2 linked regions of the Lonchura striata genome follow. The protein of the gene in region 2 interacts with the protein of the main gene of each other region in a pairwise test. Links are inferred from orthologs where the notes say so. Each region holds a gene or a part of one and is shown on either strand. Other genes may lie near its edges.

Region 1 (8,405 bases), on a different chromosome or scaffold from region 2:
ATGCTGCCTCTGAAGGTTGGCTCTTGTCCCAGGCACCCCCAGCCTGAGGACACCCAGGGAGAGGGGAGGCTCCCCACAGGGAAAAGGTGGCCCCGCAGTCTCACACCTGCAGCCAGTGCAGCCAGGCCTGGCCCTAAGCACACTCACCATGAAGAAGGCACCGCGGTGGTAGTACTTCTGCAGGAATTTGTATTTGCCCTTTACTGCCTTGTTGGTGATGACTTTACCATTGGCCCGGAGCTCAGCACGGCGCTCCTCCTCTGTCAGGTTCCGCATACGCTCGATCTCTGCCTTCTCCTTCTCCATGCTGGGTGGGAGAGAAGCTCCTGAGACTGTGTGTCCCCACAGCATCTCCCGGGAGAGAGGCTGTCACCAGCTAACACATGAGAGCTTACACATTTACTGCTAGGGAGCAAAGGCACCCCAAGGGTGGGCAGGAGGGACTCTGGGCATTCAGTCCAGCTGGGACCCTGCTGCCAAAGGGCAGCCTGAGGAAAAGGTGGGGTCTCAGCCTCTAGTCTGAGAGACAATACTTACGCTTCTCGTTCTTCGCGGTCTCGTTTGATACGCTTCAGCTCACGGACTTTCCAGGCCTCATACTCCTCCTCATCGTTCTCATCATCTGTATCGAGTGCATCCAGTGCTGCCAGTGAGCGCTTGTTCTCCTCCAGCTCCTTCTTTGCTTCCTCTTCTACAATCTGCAGTGAGGCCCAAGCTAAACTTGCTGCAGTGGCTGCCCCCTCCAGCCTCCAGCCCACCCCTCCGTACCTTAAGCGTGTACTTGCGCCTCTCCTCTGCCATCCTCTTTGCCTCCTGCTCCAGCTCCTTCTGCTTCAGAGCTTCTGCTTCTCTCTCCTGGACTGTGATCCGGTCCTTCCTGCAAGCAGGGCCATGACAGCCTTCAGCCCTCCCACGAGCCAGTGCAGTCGCTCAGCCTCTCACTGGCTCCCACACTGCAACTGCTTTCAGCCTTTGCCCTCTCCAGGGATAGGTCAAGTCCCAGGGCTCTCCCCTTCCTGGGTACTACCACGTTCTTTTGCCACTATATGGCCCTTGACCAAGAGCTCTGGTCAGACTCCACAGCCTGATGCCACAGCAACCCAATGCAACTGATACAGGGCTGTGGGTACAGGGATTGCTCCTTGCTCCCTAGCTGTGCCCTGCCAGGCTGTGACCATCCCATCCCACCCCAAGGAGGTCAATGGCTTCTCACAGTGAGAAGAGACCATGGCAGCAAGGTCTCCTTGGGCCCCAGCTTCTGACTACCACGATCCAGGGCCAGCCTACACACTTCCATCACCTACTTGCGAATAAAGACCGGTTTGAGACGTGGCTCCATTTCATCTTCGCTGTCCGTGTACTCCTCATACTCGGATTCTGACTCAGACTCTTCTCCAGACCGACCCTCATCTTCCAATTCCATCACTTCCATCTCCTCAGTTTTCCTCTCCTGTGCTCGCTGACGCATCATCCCACGCCGACGCTCAATCTCCTAACGGGGACAAGCACAGAGCAGTCAGAGGCCTGCCCTGCTACCACTTCTCTCTCTCCTGTGAAACACGTCACGTCTGCAGTGTTGGCTTTGAGAAGATGCACCTGCCTGTCTGGACGTGGCGTGGCCTCCCCCAGTGTCCTGTTCCATGCCAGAGGATGATAACTTACATGGTTAAGTCGTGGCTAGGTGTGACACTTGTCCAGATACATCAGACAGCCCACATATCCATGCAAAGGGCAGTTCCAGCCTGTGCCCTTCCAGCTTTCCTAGGCCCATTATCTGGCTCTGCAAACACACCTCATCATCAATCTCTTCCTCCTCCTCTTCACTGGTGTCCTCCCGTTCCAGGCGCCAAGCTTCTCCCCCCTCCACTTCTGAATCGCTTTCTCCGACCACTTCAGGTTCCACGATTTTGCGGTGCCTTGCCAGCCTGCAAGAGACCCCAGGTGATGCACAGCACTTGGAACGTAAGGGGGCTGCAGGAAAGTGACTGTTCACAAATCACTTCTAGCAAGGCCACAGTAAGCACTGGGACTGCCAAACATGGCCAGAATTGATATGTTCTCTACCAGGTCACAGTGCCTGGGCACTGCCAGCTCTTCCCTGTCAATGCTTCAAGGAAGAATGCTGTTCCAAATGAGAAGACTCCTTGTTAGTGGAAACAAAACCAACAGCAGCTCCATGGGAGGCAAACAGCACTTAGTGGTGCTTTTCTGCAGATGATGGAGACGGAAATATCACAGGCTGCAGTGAAGCGCAATCTGCGCAAGCACATGGGCAACGTGGTGGAGGCTCTCATCACCCTCACCAACTGAGCTGGGAGGCCATGGGCTGCCCAGAGTGCATTTCACGAGACACCATCCTTCCTTGCTACCCCGAGCTTCAGCACGCTGCTCTAATTTCTGTTTTGGTGCCTGTTTCTCCTACCATCCACCCACACACACCTGGACATGGACTGTGCCTGGCTGGCTCCTGGCTGGAAAGCAGCCCAAGGCACAGTGGATATGAGAAGTCACAAACGCTCCAGCACTGCCTGGATAATGTTCCCAGCTCTGCCCTGTGGAGTTTCTCCTTGCAGTCTAGAGTCCCAGCCCCCCGGCCCCAGATAGGCAAAGGGGGCTCAGCTCTTGTTGACCCAGCACTCACCGCTCCTCCACATCCTCAGCGATGCGGTTCTGGAGGCGCCGGAGCCGGGGGTCGTTGGCCAGTTCCTCCTCCTGTTCCTCGGGCTCGACCTCTTGCTCCTTCGCCTTCTTGATGAATTGGAACTCCTCGTCCTCCTCCTCCGAGGACTCCATGGGCGCGTAGTCGGGCCGCTTGCCCGACACGTACCGCTTCACCTTCACCTTCTCCATGGACAGCTCGCCTGCGGGTGCCGGCCGTCAGCGGCGGTCTCGGCCCCGCACCCCCGTCCCGGCCCCGCGCCCGCCCGGCCTCCCCGCCGAGCCCCGAGCCCCCAGCTCACCCTTCTCGTTGCGGACGGGCACGGCGCCCGCCGTGGACTGGATCGGCGGCTGCTTCATGAGAGCGCTGGGGACCGACATGGTGGCGGCAGGCGGGGGCCGGGCCGGGCCGAGCGGGGCCGAGCGGAGCGGAGCGGGGCCGAGCGGAGCCGAGGGGAGCGGAGCGGAGCCGAGCCGGGCCGGGCCGAGCGGAGCAGAGCCGAGCGGGGCCGCTGACAACGGCGCCTCGAGCGCTCACCCGGAACCGGAACCTCGGCCGCTTCCGCCGCCACCGGGACCGTGCCGGGGCCCGGAAGTGGCGCTGGGCCCGGGGTCGCTGCCGCGGGGACGGGCACCGGGGCTCGGAGCCGTCTGCCGTGGCTGCGTGTCGGCCCGGCGCGGGGTGCTCCGGGCCCTGCGGCCGGCTGGCAGGGGGGTCCCCGGTCGTTTCGCCATCCGCCTTCGGCCGGGAGAGGCTCCGTTCCCCCCTGCACGATGCGGGTTTCTCCCCGGAGGGGAGTGAGGGCGAGGCAGCGGCCGAGCGGCCATAGGACGGCGGGGGCACCGGCAGCGCCGCGATGGGGCTCTGCGGCTCGCCCGGGTGCGGCTCGCCCGGGTGCTGCTCGCTCCGGCCGCGTCTAAGCGGCGCCGGGGCTCTGCGGGCCCGGCCGTCCCGTGCGGGCTGCGTCTGAGCCGGCAGCTGCCGGAACGGAGCGCCCGGGGCTACCCGTAACTCGCTGAGCTGGGGAACGGCCTGCGCCTGGCAAATTCCTGTGCCGAACTGCCCGCCCAGCCTGAGAACTGCTGCTCGCTTTGGTGCGCGGTGGGGCTGCGGGGCTGTGCGGAGCCCGCTGCCAGCGCGGCTGCTCGGGGCAGAGCGGGGCTGGGTGTCCCTGGAGGCCAGGTGGCCGTGGCTGCTGCCCAAGCCGTGCCGTTCCTCCCTGCAGTGCGGCACGGCAGGCCGTCCGCCTTTGCTCCCGACGGCCGCAGCCAGCCATGACCCCAGTCTCCCTGCTCTGCCCGCTCCAGCCAGCTCCAGCAAGCCCCAGCGCTGCTGCCTGGCTCCCTGGCAGCAAGGACAAATAGCTCTTGCGTGCCCCCGGAGCCCTCGGCCAGCGCCAGCAGGGCAGCTGCTGCCGGTGGGGCAGCACCTCCACCTGCCGCACGGCAAGGCTGGGGGAGCTCCTGGGGGTCCCACTGGCGTGGGTGTGAAGTGTCTGTGGGGAAAGGCTGGGGCCACGGCTGCTTCTTGGGGGTTTCCCGTAAGCAGCTGGCTGCTGCCTGTGTCAGCAGCCGAGGTGTGTGAGGCTTCACAGTGTAGGGCGAGTGGCTGGGGTGGGATGTCCCTGTGCACGCATCCTGCCGCAGAAGATAACAGTTTCTCTTAAGTTGGGTAAAACTGCGTCACAAGCCACTGCAGCCACGTCTGCCACTTTCTGCTACCTTCTGCTGGCTTCTACGAAGAAAGGAAGAGGAAATCCTCTTTTATCTTCCATGAAATCTGCTTGCTGGCAGGGAAATTTAGGAAGCAGGGGGAGCGAGCCACACTTCAACAGTTCACCGGCAGTAGCAGAGCAGGTACTCTCGTGGGGTGAGGCTAGCTCTGGCAGCCAGGAAAGGCCAGGGCACATGTGCTTTTCCAATTGGTGGCTCAGCAGTGGAGCACAATCCATAAGGGAGTGCAGGGAAGTGTTTTTCTTTTGGTGTCCTTGGTCTGGCTGGGAGATGTCCCTCTGGCAGCATCTCCTGCAGCCAGTCTAGGGGAGAGCAGACCAAATTTTTGGCAGCAGTACCCTAGTCTGGTCCCAGAAGTGGCTGCAGAGGTCCCAAGGCCACGGTGGAGGCTGACTCTCCTGGGAAACTCTCCTTGGCCTACAGAGATGCCAGGACTGGGCAGATCCAGTTGGATGACCACAATCTGGCTGGGCTGCAGGTGGGGGTGGCTGCCCCAGGCACGGGGACAGGTGGGCCCAGTCCCTTGAAGCACTGGCTGGCTGCACCTGGCATCCTGACTCAGTCCCTGCTCTGGTTCCAGGGAAGGGTGTCCCTGCAGTGCCCTCCATACAGACCCATTTCTGCTGCAGGCAGAAATGGTGCAGTGAAGCTGGTAGTTTGCCTGAGCAACTGAGGCATCGATGCCTTTATAATCCTACAGCACCTACAGACTGCCAGGAACAAGCAAGAGTGGATCTGTGTGCTTGTTGGTGTTCTTCTGGCCTTTGCACCCAGGTGACAACCAGAGCAGCCACTCTGTGTTTATGTTGTTAGTGTTGGATGTTGTCACAGTGTGTTCCCACCTAGTAAGTCCTGTGCCACATGGCAAGGAATAAGCTTTAACAGGACTTGAAGGAACAGTTGGCCACAGTACCCAAGAGGAAGCTTGAGGATTGCACACAAAGCAGATACTGTCCTATTCAAGTGAAGCTAAACTAAAGACCTGGGCAAACAGGGAAATACCTTCAAGCCTGGCTCAGTTCTGTGGCTGCAGGTGCTGGAGGCCATGGCAGGAAGATGCCCTTCACTGCAAAGTCTCTTTGCCCCATGTTCCCTTTGCCCAGTGCAGTGGCTGCTGACATCTTGGCCCTGCCAAGTCTTGGCAGTTGGCAGATGGGCAGCAATGGGGTGGGAGACACTTTGTGAGGCTGAGCCCCCCATTCCTGGGGTGGTGTGAAGCCATGGAAGGCTGGCAGCTGTTCCATGAGTGAGCCTGGAGCATGGGCCAGTCTGCCCCTCAGTGCTGTGCCAGCCACACCTGCTGGTCTTTGGGCTGGGTTTGCTTGTGAGCACCCCCTCCCCAGCCCACCGAAGCCCACGGGCACATGGCATTCCTACTGCTGGGCTGCAGGTGGGCTCCCAGCCTTGTGTTCCTTGCCCGTGTGTGTGTGTGTGTTCCTGTGCGTGACACTACTGTGGAACGCCCCAAGTGCCACAGGCACCTTATGCACTTAGGCTGGGCAAGGAAATCCCTGCACCTGTACAGCAGGTGATGACAGGGTGCTGTCCAGGACAGGTGATGGAAGGGCACATCCCGCAGCCCAGAGCAGGGGCAGAGCCAGACTAGGCTGTGGAGCATTACGACTGCTGCTGACAAAGCCTAAGGCAGATAGTTACAGAACCCACCTTGAGCAGCTGCTGTTTGTGTCTGCAGCTGTACTGCAAGGACAAGGTCAGGGTGTTTGGGCTGGGCCTGTGTCCCTGCATGTGCCTACAGTGAGATGTTGTGTCTGGGAGTCAGAGATGAGTAGAGCTGCTGGAGCCAGCTGGACCCTGTAGACCACAGGTCCTGCCTGGAGCATGGCAGTCCCAGCTCCCTCAGCACTAAGAGACCTGCTGGTAGTATCCAGGGTGGAGGGGACAGACTGGGGAGACTCCAGGGAAAGGGACTGCAGCCTTAGCTTTGGGATAGTGTAAGGATGTGTGCAGGGAGAAGGCTGGACAGCACAGCAGAGGGACTGTGGGCTCACCTCTGCTGGCAATGGGGCAGAGCAGGCTGCTCTGTGCTGGGTAAACCTTCTGCTATTGATTTGGTGCATCCAGAAGTTTCTGCCTGCTGTTGCTGCCTGTTACTTGGTTTTCTCTGCTGGTTTCTCTGTGTGGGCACTCTGCCCTTTACTTGCTCACTAGCTGCTTTCACCTGCAATCCTCCAGGTCCCCCAGGCTGGGATGTTTGCAGGCAGGAGTGCAGCCCTATGCTGCTCTGTTTCCCAGGGAGCTTAGGCAGATGGGCAGTTGTATTCTGCAGGTTGAAAGCTAAAAATGAACCTGATTTTTCCATGAAAGTGGGTTTCTGTTGATTGTGTGTGCAGCCAAGCCACACCAGTGTGCTCAGAGAAGGGGAGTGTGGGGGACTCTCCCACCCCCAGTGAACAGTTTGGCCCCTGTGGCCATAGTGAGAACCCCAGGGGATCCTAGCAGGGCAGACCTCACAGGATGGGACAGTACAATGGGCCGGCAGTAGTGCTGCCAGTTTGCTGGGCACTGCTGCATGGAGCGGCTGTTTCTGCTGTCTCCTGGGCTGCACTGGTGCCTCTGAGCCACAGTCCCCAAGTCTGAGATGAGGGTTTGTGCCTGGCAGATGTGCGGCAGTAGCTGTTTCACCCCTCGCTGCATCATGGCTCGGGGCAGAGAGGGGTGCCTGGCAGCCCTTGTGAGGTGAGTGGGGCACGGCAGCCGCTCAGATCCCTGCTGGTGGCCTCTCTCTGCTCCTTCTGCAGCTGGGCCCAGGGGCTGCTGGCACAGCGGGTCTCCTCCCGGTCTGTGGCGATGTGCCACCTGCAGCCAGGTGCTTCCCGACCCTGGTGTTTTCTTTGGCAGGGCTGTGGGGTCAGCGCAGGTCCCAGGCCAGTGGTTTGCGTAAGAGCGTGGTGCTTCCTGCCCGCCTGCCCTGCCCCGCAGCACCGCCATAAGCCCGTGGTGACAAGGGCCCTTTGTCAGCTCCTCATGTCACAGGGCTGCGTGCAGCAGCTCCTCACCTGCCTTGGCACGGCTGCCAGCGCCCAAAGGAGGCATCCAGAGGTAAGGTTCATGGGTGGGGCAGGCAGCCTGTGTCCCATCCTCCCTCCCACCACCAGTCCGGACTCCAGCTCCGACCTGCCTCTGTCCATGCATTCTCCATATAACCCCATGGGGCACAGCTGGTCCCTGTGTCCCCAAGGGTAGGTCTGAGCTTGCCAGCTACAGGGACGACTCCTGAGGATGCTGCAGTGACACTGAGGTGAGTGCTGCCTGTTGGGTGGGTGCCTTCTCCCCCTGGTGGGACAGTGGCCCTTAAGGTGGGCCTGGGGCACCACAGCCCCTGTGGCTGGTGGTCTCTGGTGCAGCACTTGAGGCTGGATGCCAGGGTCGGCCCAGCCCAAATACCTGCAGTCAGGGTGCTGCCCTGCAGAACTAACCCAGTTTAGAACAGCAGCCTGCCCTGTGCTAGATTTTCTGGGCTGTTCTCAGCATCTCAGTTACCAAGGTGACTGTTTCCTGTGTGATTGCTAATGCTTCATGATCTTGATCATGGTATCTGAGTGACTTCCTTTTCTCTGGAAAGAGCACTAGGACCTGCTCCTGCCCCAAGCTGCCAGACTCATCGCAGATGTGGAAGATTCAGGTCAGTTTGGGTTCAGGTCACTGTGGGTTCTGCTGCATTTGTGTTGCTAATGACACGGTACCGTGCCCACAGTACGTTGTTCTTTACAAATGACTGAAGCTGTGTATTTCACTTCTCACCTTTCCTCCTTGGTGGAAGTCTCTCTCTTGACATGGGGCTCATAGATTTTTTTCCTTGTGTTATTCCTTACCAGACAGTTTCTTTGTCAGGCTGCTGCACACCGATCTGGGGTTGCAGCCCCACGATAAGGACCTCATGGGAAGTACGATTCCCGCAGCCTGGTTGGGGAACTCTCTGCTCCGGGGTCTGCCAGGGCTGGAACAGGCTAATGTGGCAGCGCTCATGTCCTGCCAGCCCCGTGCCACAGCAT
Region 2 (7,941 bases):
TCTGCTGCTGACAGCAACCTGAATCAATTCTGGTGGCTGCCAGCATTAAGGGAAAAAAAAAAAAAATGCATCGTGGCCACTGCTGGAGATGAGGGTTTCCATGCAGACTGCGAGGCACAGGAAGCAATTGTTTACCAATGAGAACGGGGCAAGCTTCCCCATTAATACACCAGGAAAGCTGTGACCTCTTCTCCTTGTCCCCAGCCCCAAGCACTCCTTGCTCCCCACAGCCTCAGAGTCTGGTCACAAGGGCAGTACAGAAAGATGAAGGGGCCAGCTAGCTCCCTTATTTCTCATTTTTTAAGTCTTAACTCTGCTCTGAAGAGCTGCTCTATTAATTTCTACATCTTATCTCTTCTTTCCAGGGCAGGTGCAGCAGCTGGCAAGCAGGAGCCAGCTCATTTTCATGGACAGTATTGCAGCCTCCCATTAACTCCATGATAGGAAAGGAAGAGACCACAGCCCTGCCTGGCAACCCTCCCCGTGCTGCAAGGGCTCCAGAGGCATTACCTGGCAGGCAAACCCTCACCCTGCTCACCAGAACATGGCTGTTTTCTTGGAAAGCCACAGCCAAGCCTGCTGCCCACACTTGGCACCATTTCTCATGCCTTTACCAAGCACTGCCCTGGGGCTTGCACACCCTGTGCTGGGACACACGTGCCAGCACTCAGCACCACGGCTAAGCGAGGCTGCGAGGTCACCACAAGGTGCACAGGGTTTAGCCCTGGCACAGAAGCTGATTTCTGCTTCTAACTCACACCTGGCTTGTGGGGTTTCCCAGTTTCATGACTTCTCAGAGCACTGCTTTGTCTCTCACTGGCCGTGACCTTCCCAGAGCCCCCAAACACCTGCACACCAGCACCCTGTATCACCTCCTCAGGTGTGTAAGAGCCGTCACTTCCTTTGGGCCAAGGACCCATCAAGCAATCCCCCACCATTTTCTACATCAAAAAACTCCCTCCCACCGTGCATTTCAACAACCCCCTGCATGCAGCCAACACAAAACAGCCCCATTTTGAGAGCAGAGCCAACTCCAGCCCTGCTGAGAGCCCTGGAGCTCTGCGGGGCGTGGGCTCCCTGCCAGGCAGAGCCCAGGCACAGGCACCTGCTGGTGTTGCCACCCACACACTCTGCTCCGGGCTGCTGGGCCGGTCCTTACCATGACGTAGTGACGCTGCATCTCCGATTTCTCGCTGGCTAGTTTGTCACATTCCAACTTCAAGCTGAAAAGCCAGAAAACAGTAAGAAAACCACAAACAGGAGGTGAGAGAGTTGATCGCCTCGGAGCAGCTGCTTCCTGCATGGCCTCATCCCGGCCAGGCTGGATTCTTGGACATCATTATCTGGACTTCAAGGGGTGGCCAGAGCAGAGCTCAGACAGGCTGTGCTGGCACAGTAGTGACCACACAGAACCTGCTCCCAATTTCTCAGCTGGAGCCCTCCCCAGCACACATTCAGGAAAAGGACACAAGGCTATCCACCAGCAGAACACTGACCTCCCTCAGGCAAATCCATTCCACAGGAAGCAGAATGCTGGGGAGAAGCAGAGTTGGCTGCCCAGGGAGGGGTTTGCCTTTCCTCAACAGATCGCTGGCAGCTGGGGACAGATTCTGGCACAGAACCTGTCTGCAGCACTCAAAAGATGTTCCACTACAACATCAAAACCAAAGCCAGACCCACTTCTGGATGGGGGCTGGGGGGGGGAGGCCCAAGTGCAGCACATCCCTCCAGAAGCAAGGATTTTTCCTCTCTCCTAGATTCTTCACACCCTTCAGAGAAAGTGCCGCTGCTCCCAGTGTTTTATGAGACTCCAACTCACCAGCCGAGCAACTGCAGCCAGAATGTGCTGTGGTTTTATGTTTCAAACAAGAAACAGCTTCACCTACACAAAACCTGCTCCTTCTTGAGCAGATTAAGTCCAAGGGGGTGGAGCGGCATGGGGGAAAAGCTTCCCTTTCAGCAGGAACCCCTACTCCCCTGATGGCACTGCCAAGGCACAGAGACACCAGGAAATGGCCACTTCCCAGCAGCTTTTCTGCCTGCTCCTGCCAAAATGACACCACCACAAACTTGTAACCTGCCCGCAGGCAGAGCCCGGGCTGGGGGACATTGCAGCCACATGGCACCAATGCACACACCAAAACCAGTGCCAGGCTGTGGCAGAGGGCATTGCCCAGACAATATAAACCGAAGGGCTTCATGTTTATGTCAGACATAAACACGCACACACACACACGCAAAGCAACAGATTGTCTCAAGCCAGCTTTTGGGTTAGCAGCACTATTTCCACACACATTCACAGAAAAGTAAAAGCATTTGGATTTAAGTGCTCCCTGCAGCATTTGCAGTCCAGGAATGGCAGCCAGCGAGAAAAATTGAGGAAAACTCCCAGCAAAAGGCAGGAGGGCTGGCAAGTGCCTGTGCAGTCCTGGCTGAGCAGCACTTGGAGGAAAGACCTTGGCTGGAGAAGGGAATGGGCGTTCTCCTCGCTGGGCTCCCATGTGGACGCGACCAGCGCCGTGCCCGAGGCGCTCCTCCAGCCAAAGGCGTCCCAAGCTCCGCGAGCGGCTCCCCTTCCCCAAATTCTCGTCCGGCCCCGGGAGCCACGCAAGGAGCAGAAGGACCGGAGCGATCCCCGCGCCCCGGCCGGGACAGCCCCGGGCGCGGGGGCAGCACGTACCTGTGGTACTGGGCCTGCAGCAGCTGGAACTCGTCCTTGATGCGGTCGCACGAGTCGGAGGTCGTGAACTTCAGCTGCTGAGGCAGGTGAGAGGAGCCCTTGAACAACAGGAGACAGCGCTGGGCCGGAGCCGGCGCCCGCCGGGCCCGCCCGCCCCGAGCCCGCCCCGGGGCCCGAGCCCCGCCGGGGGCAGCGCCCAAGGTCACCGGGGGCCCCTCGCCCGGGAGCCGCCCCGCGGCACCGGGAGGCGCTCGATCCCCTCGCCCCCGCGGGGCCGGGGGAGGCCGGGCAGCCCCCGCGGCCCCGCCGGCGCCCGGCCCCGCCCCGCGGCCGCTCCGGCCCCGGGCCGCGCCGTACCGAGTGCCGGCTTTGTGGAAACATCATGTCAGGTTGCGGCTCGGTCCCCGCACGGAGCGGCCCGCTGCCACCGGCTGCCCGCGCCGCCGCCGCCTTTGTCCGCGCCGGGTCCGGCCGCCCCGGCCCCGCGGCCGCCCCGCCCCGGCCGCGCCGCTCGCCCCGCGCCGCTCCCGCCGCCGGCGCCTATTGTCTAATGGCGGCTGCGGCTCCGGCTCCGTCCTGCGGCTGCTCGGCACCACCTGCCGCCGCCGCCGCCTCCCCGGCCCGGGCGGGCCCACGGCCGCGCCCGCCCCCGCCGGTCCCCGCCCCCGCCGCGCGGCGCCGCCGGGCCGGGCCGGGCCGGGCCGCGCTCGGTGCCGCCCTCGGTGCCGCGCTCCCTCGGCGGGGCCCGGGGGATGCTCGGTGCCCTCCCCGCGCTCGGGACGGGCCTTGCCCCGCCGGCCGGGCTGCCCGGCCCTCCCCGCAGCCCCCCGGTGCCGCGGCCCACCGAGAGTCCCTGCCCGTGCCCCGGCCCCGCCGGGAGTCCCTGCCCGTGTCCCGGCCCACCGAGAGTCCCTGCCCGTGCCCCGGCCCCACCGGGAGTCCCTGCCCGTGCCCCGGCCCCGCCGGGAGTCCCTGCCCGTGCCCCGACCCACCGGGAGTCCCTGCCCGTGCCCCGACCCACCGGGAGTCCCTGCCCGTGCCCCCGACCCACCGAGAGTCCCTGCCCGTGCCCCGGCCCCACCGGGAGTCCCTGCCCGTGCCCCGGCCCGCCGAGAGTCCCTGCCCGTGCCCCCGGACCCACCGGGAGTCCCTGCCCGTGCCCCCGGCCCACCGAGAGTCCCTGCCCGTGCCCCCAGCCCACCGGGAGTCCCTGCCCGTGCCCCGGCCCACCGAGAGTCCCTGCCCGTGCCCCGGCCCCACCGGGAGTCCCTGCCCGTGCCCCGGCCCCGCCGGGAGTCCCTGCCCGTGCCCCGACCCACCGAGAGTCCCTGCCCGTGCCCCCGGCCCACCGAGAGTCCCTGCCCGTGCCCCGGCCCCACCGGGAGTCCCTGCCCGTGCCCCGGCCCACCGAGAGTCCCTGCCCGTGCCCGGACTCACCGGGAGTCCCTGCCCGTGCCCCGGCCCCGCCGAGCCCCCGGCCCGGCCCAGGGTCCGGAGCCCCGGAGCGGCCCTTGGTGGGCAGTGAAGCTCCTCGCCCTTCGCAGCTCATTTTCACGCCCTTCCCCAAGCAGAACAGGCTATTTTTATTTATTTTTTTTTTAACCCAGAGTTTCGTTTTGCTTTATTTCAGTGTTGCCCTTGGCTGAGCCTGAGGGAAGGGAAAGGAAAAAGGTAGTTCACCTACAACTGGCCACCAGAGAAAGCTCTGATCTCCAAGCAATGGGATGTGTTCTGCTCTGGATGCAAACTTTGGTCCTAAACCTGCTGCCTGAAGAGGAGACCCTGCAGTTGGTGTCCTGCAGGATCGATTGCATCCCCCCAGAGAGCAGTGGGGTGGGGAATTCAGCCACAGACTTTATTTCTGGAAGGACTTTGTTGCCATGGGGCCTCTTGCAAAGCTGCACACACAAATGTGCCCGTGCTGAGGCAGGATCAAGTCCTTGGAAGCCATTCGGAGAATAGCAGGCAGGAACACGGTACATGTGAGCACACAGAGAGCTTTAATAAATTTTGGATGTTGCTCCATGTCTATCTTTAAAAATCAGTACATTTTCTGATTAAAAATAAAACCCGACATGTCATGACTCCAGCAATGTGGGCTGGCCTGTTGTGGTATTTATTTTTAAAAAGAACAATATAGCAGATGAGTTATTGTGACACCTCCTGCATATTGTGCAGTAGCTTTTTCACTTCAACATCTCCATATTAGTGGAAACTGTGACAGCTTCATGCCAAGGATTATTAATAGTGCAGGCAGGCTTCGTGTCCCTGCAGAATAAGGGTTGGAAAACAGGGCAGACAGTCTGCCCCCAGTGGGGTTGGCATCCTGGTCCCCCTTTTTACGTGGAGAGAAACTGAGTCACCCCAGCTTGAGCTGTGCTCAAGGGCAGAGAAATGCAGTTTATGGTCAGTGTGTGCGTGCAGCCACACCAGGTCCCTGTTGTCCCCTTCCCCTGGTCCTGGAGCAGCACAGGCACCCTGCCCTACACTCGCAACAGCTTGCAGTCACTCCCTTCCAAGTGGGAAATGAAATGCTCCTTTATTGGCATTTCTGTTGGCTACAAAATGTTCCATTTTATCTTTTTTTTTTTTTTTTTCCCTCTCTCCTTACATTCTTCCAGGAAACACTCTAATTTATGGTATAATCTTGGCAAATCCCAGTCCAGGGGAACACAAACTCACTTGTGCCTGGTAAATGACTTTTTAATGGGCTCGTTTCCAGCCAGGCAATGCACCTGCATCTGAAGAAGAGGGGATTTTAGCCTGGCCCAGGCTGAGTCAGGGGCTGGGTATGGTCTGGGAGCAGAGGAGGTGGCCCCAAACACAGCCTGGTGAGCAGTGGGGGTTCCCACAGCCCACCTCAGACCCAGCTTGAGAAATGAAGGTTTTTCCAGCACAGGAAAGGGAGTTCTGTGTAGGAGCTCTCCAAGTGAACCAATATTTTTGTCTGCTGCAAAGCTGTTTGAAGGTAATGTGGGGAAGCCCCCCACTCCCTCAACATCTTGGCCAGGAATAAAAACATGCTGGATTCTTGCTACAACCAGGACTGGCTCGGGGTTGGGCATGCAGGTGGGTTTCCAGAAAGCCATGAGGGACAGAGAGGGCAGAAGCATTTTGTATTTCTAATGGCGCAAGAAACTGTCCCAGTCTCTGGCCCCACTGGAACAATTCATACAGGGATGTCCTAATGAAACCTAGAGAAACTTCCTATTAGTTCCTAAAAGGAGCAGTCTAACAAAGCTGCCAAAAATAAATCTGTGTAATGAAGAGCCTTTGTAAATTATTCAGATATTATATCCCACTCCAGCACTGGTTCAAGGAGAGAGGTTGTACAGACATTTTCTGCTCTGAAGCTCTGGACACAAGGTGAAAGCCATGCTGTCATCATTATGAAAATGAAGGCCCTGAGATCCTGCTTTTACCCTGAGAATACTCTCTCTTTTCCCTGGATTAAAGAGGAAGAAATAAAGAAGGCACAGCAGCAATTCAGGCACTGAGACAAGGAAGGTTTTTTCCATTTTTGCACAGCCTCAGGGTCTCTTTTGAGTGCCATCACCTCAAGCTGCCCACACCCACAGGTGCTTTGCAGGAGTCTGAGCAATTTGGGGCACAGCTCTGGAGTGGCAGGGACAGGACCTCACTGGGTGTGGGGTGGCTCAGCCAGCTCCTCACTTGTGCTTTCAACCCTGTGGCCTCCTTCCAGTAGAAACAGGGCTGAGACCCACCAAACTCATTCAACTTCAGCTGCCCTTGATACCCCACCTGCCAAGAAACCCCAGGCCCTTCCTGGGCTGCAATCCCCCGCTGCTGCCCTGTATTCAGACAGCTGTGAGGCGTTCTGTAAGGGCCAGTGCTGGCAGCTTGTTGGCTATTAGCCACAGCCAGCCCCATGCCACTCTGCTGGGGCTCACTGAGTTCTCCCCTTCCTGCCTCCCTGCTTCCCCAGCCCCTCTTTGCCAGCAGCAGGGCTGGTTCCTGGGGGTTTTTTTTGGGTTTTTTTTTTGTTTTGCCCAGCCCTGCTGCCACACTGACAGCTCTGTCAGGTCTGGGCCACCTGGGATGGGATGGGGAGGCCAGGACTGGTGGTGGAGGTCAGGCACCGGACCTTGGCCCTCTGCCACATCCAGGCCAGACTGCCCCTTATCATCCCTCCTATCACAGAGATTATTGGCTTTTGATATTAAACTTTCTCCAGATAGCATAACACCATCAGCCAGACACCAGGCAAGGGCTGGGCAGGCCAAGCAGTGATTTACACACGACCTGCCTCTCAAGTCCCTCTTTCACAGAAGGGGCTGTTTTCCTTCTCTCCTTCACCACCTCCCAACTCTCCTGCTGCTGTTAGGAGCTGTGCAGGTCTCCCTGCTGCAGCAAAAGGTTGGAATGAGCAGTGGGGCTGCACAGGCTCCCAGGGAGCCAGAAGTGCAGCACTCCTCCCCAGAAACATGGCATTGGCAGGGCACAAATTCTTCCATCACCACCCAACCCCAACTGCTGCAGCCCCTGGGACACCCAGGTGCCCCGATGGGATGCAGCAGTTCCAGCACCTCAAGAGTGCTTGTTCTGCACTCTGTGCCCATGGTTCCACGCTCATTTCCAGCTGAAACTGTCTTGCTGCTTGCTCTCAGAGGCAGAAATGTACAGCAGCCCAAATTCCTCGCCTACACCAAGAAGAAAAATGAGAAATTGCCCCTGGATGTGCATAAGGTCCCAGACAGGAATGGCCTGTAGGCAGAAAGGACCTTTCTCCAAGAGCAGCCTTGGTCCAGGCAGGCTTTTTCCAGCTGGTAAAACATTCCTACCCTCTTTGATCCCGTTTTATCAGTGACTTGGAATAATTGGGCTCCATCCCTCGTGGTGACTGCCCCCCACCCCTCCCTTCTGCTGTGGCCTGTGTTTTTGCTGCAGACTGATTAGGGGTAATTATCATCCTTTTTACCAGCCAAAGTGCAAGGAGCAGTTCACACTCCTTGCAGGAAGCAGGAAAGGGATTTTGCAGCTGAGCCGTGATTAGGAAGCACATGGCAAGGATGCCTGAAGCTGCTTGCTCCCTGGGTGGTGTCCCTGAGGCATTTGGTGGGAGATAAGCAGGAAATTTGGAGCTGTGAGACAGTCAGGAGGTCCAGGGGAATCCACTGACCCTTTGGTCATGAGAAGCCTCCCAGCACAATCAGTTTGCAGAAGCAGCAGTGTGAATCCCAGACTGAGCTGAAGGGAGTGACCCACAGGGGCTGGAATGGCCAAAGGAGCAGCTTCGTGAG

What was found.
Region 1: the proteins of TLE5 (region 2) and MFAP1 interact in binary tests that used the Homo sapiens proteins (3 or more experiments, as listed by UniProt). The two-hybrid records come from large-scale screens. The link is inferred for Lonchura striata from reciprocal best matches to the Homo sapiens genes TLE5 and MFAP1.

Annotation. Positions count from the first base shown.
Region 1 is NC_134613.1:24,429,529-24,437,933, reverse strand, and holds the start of MFAP1 (microfibrillar-associated protein 1), read right to left. Parts: upstream 3,192-8,405; 5' UTR 3,040-3,191; coding exon 2,961-3,039; intron 2,862-2,960; coding exon 2,642-2,861; intron 1,926-2,641; coding exon 1,793-1,925; intron 1,493-1,792; coding exon 1,305-1,492; intron 878-1,304; coding exon 769-877; intron 699-768; coding exon 538-698; intron 308-537; coding exon 148-307; intron 1-147. UniProt on the Homo sapiens protein: Involved in pre-mRNA splicing as a component of the spliceosome.
Region 2 is NC_134630.1:4,157,917-4,165,857, reverse strand, and holds the start of TLE5 (TLE family member 5), read right to left. Parts: upstream 3,158-7,941; 5' UTR 3,065-3,157; coding exon 3,038-3,064; intron 2,779-3,037; coding exon 2,681-2,778; intron 1,224-2,680; coding exon 1,160-1,223; intron 1-1,159. UniProt on the Homo sapiens protein: Transcriptional corepressor. Acts as a dominant repressor towards other family members. Inhibits NF-kappa-B-regulated gene expression. May be required for the initiation and maintenance of the differentiated state.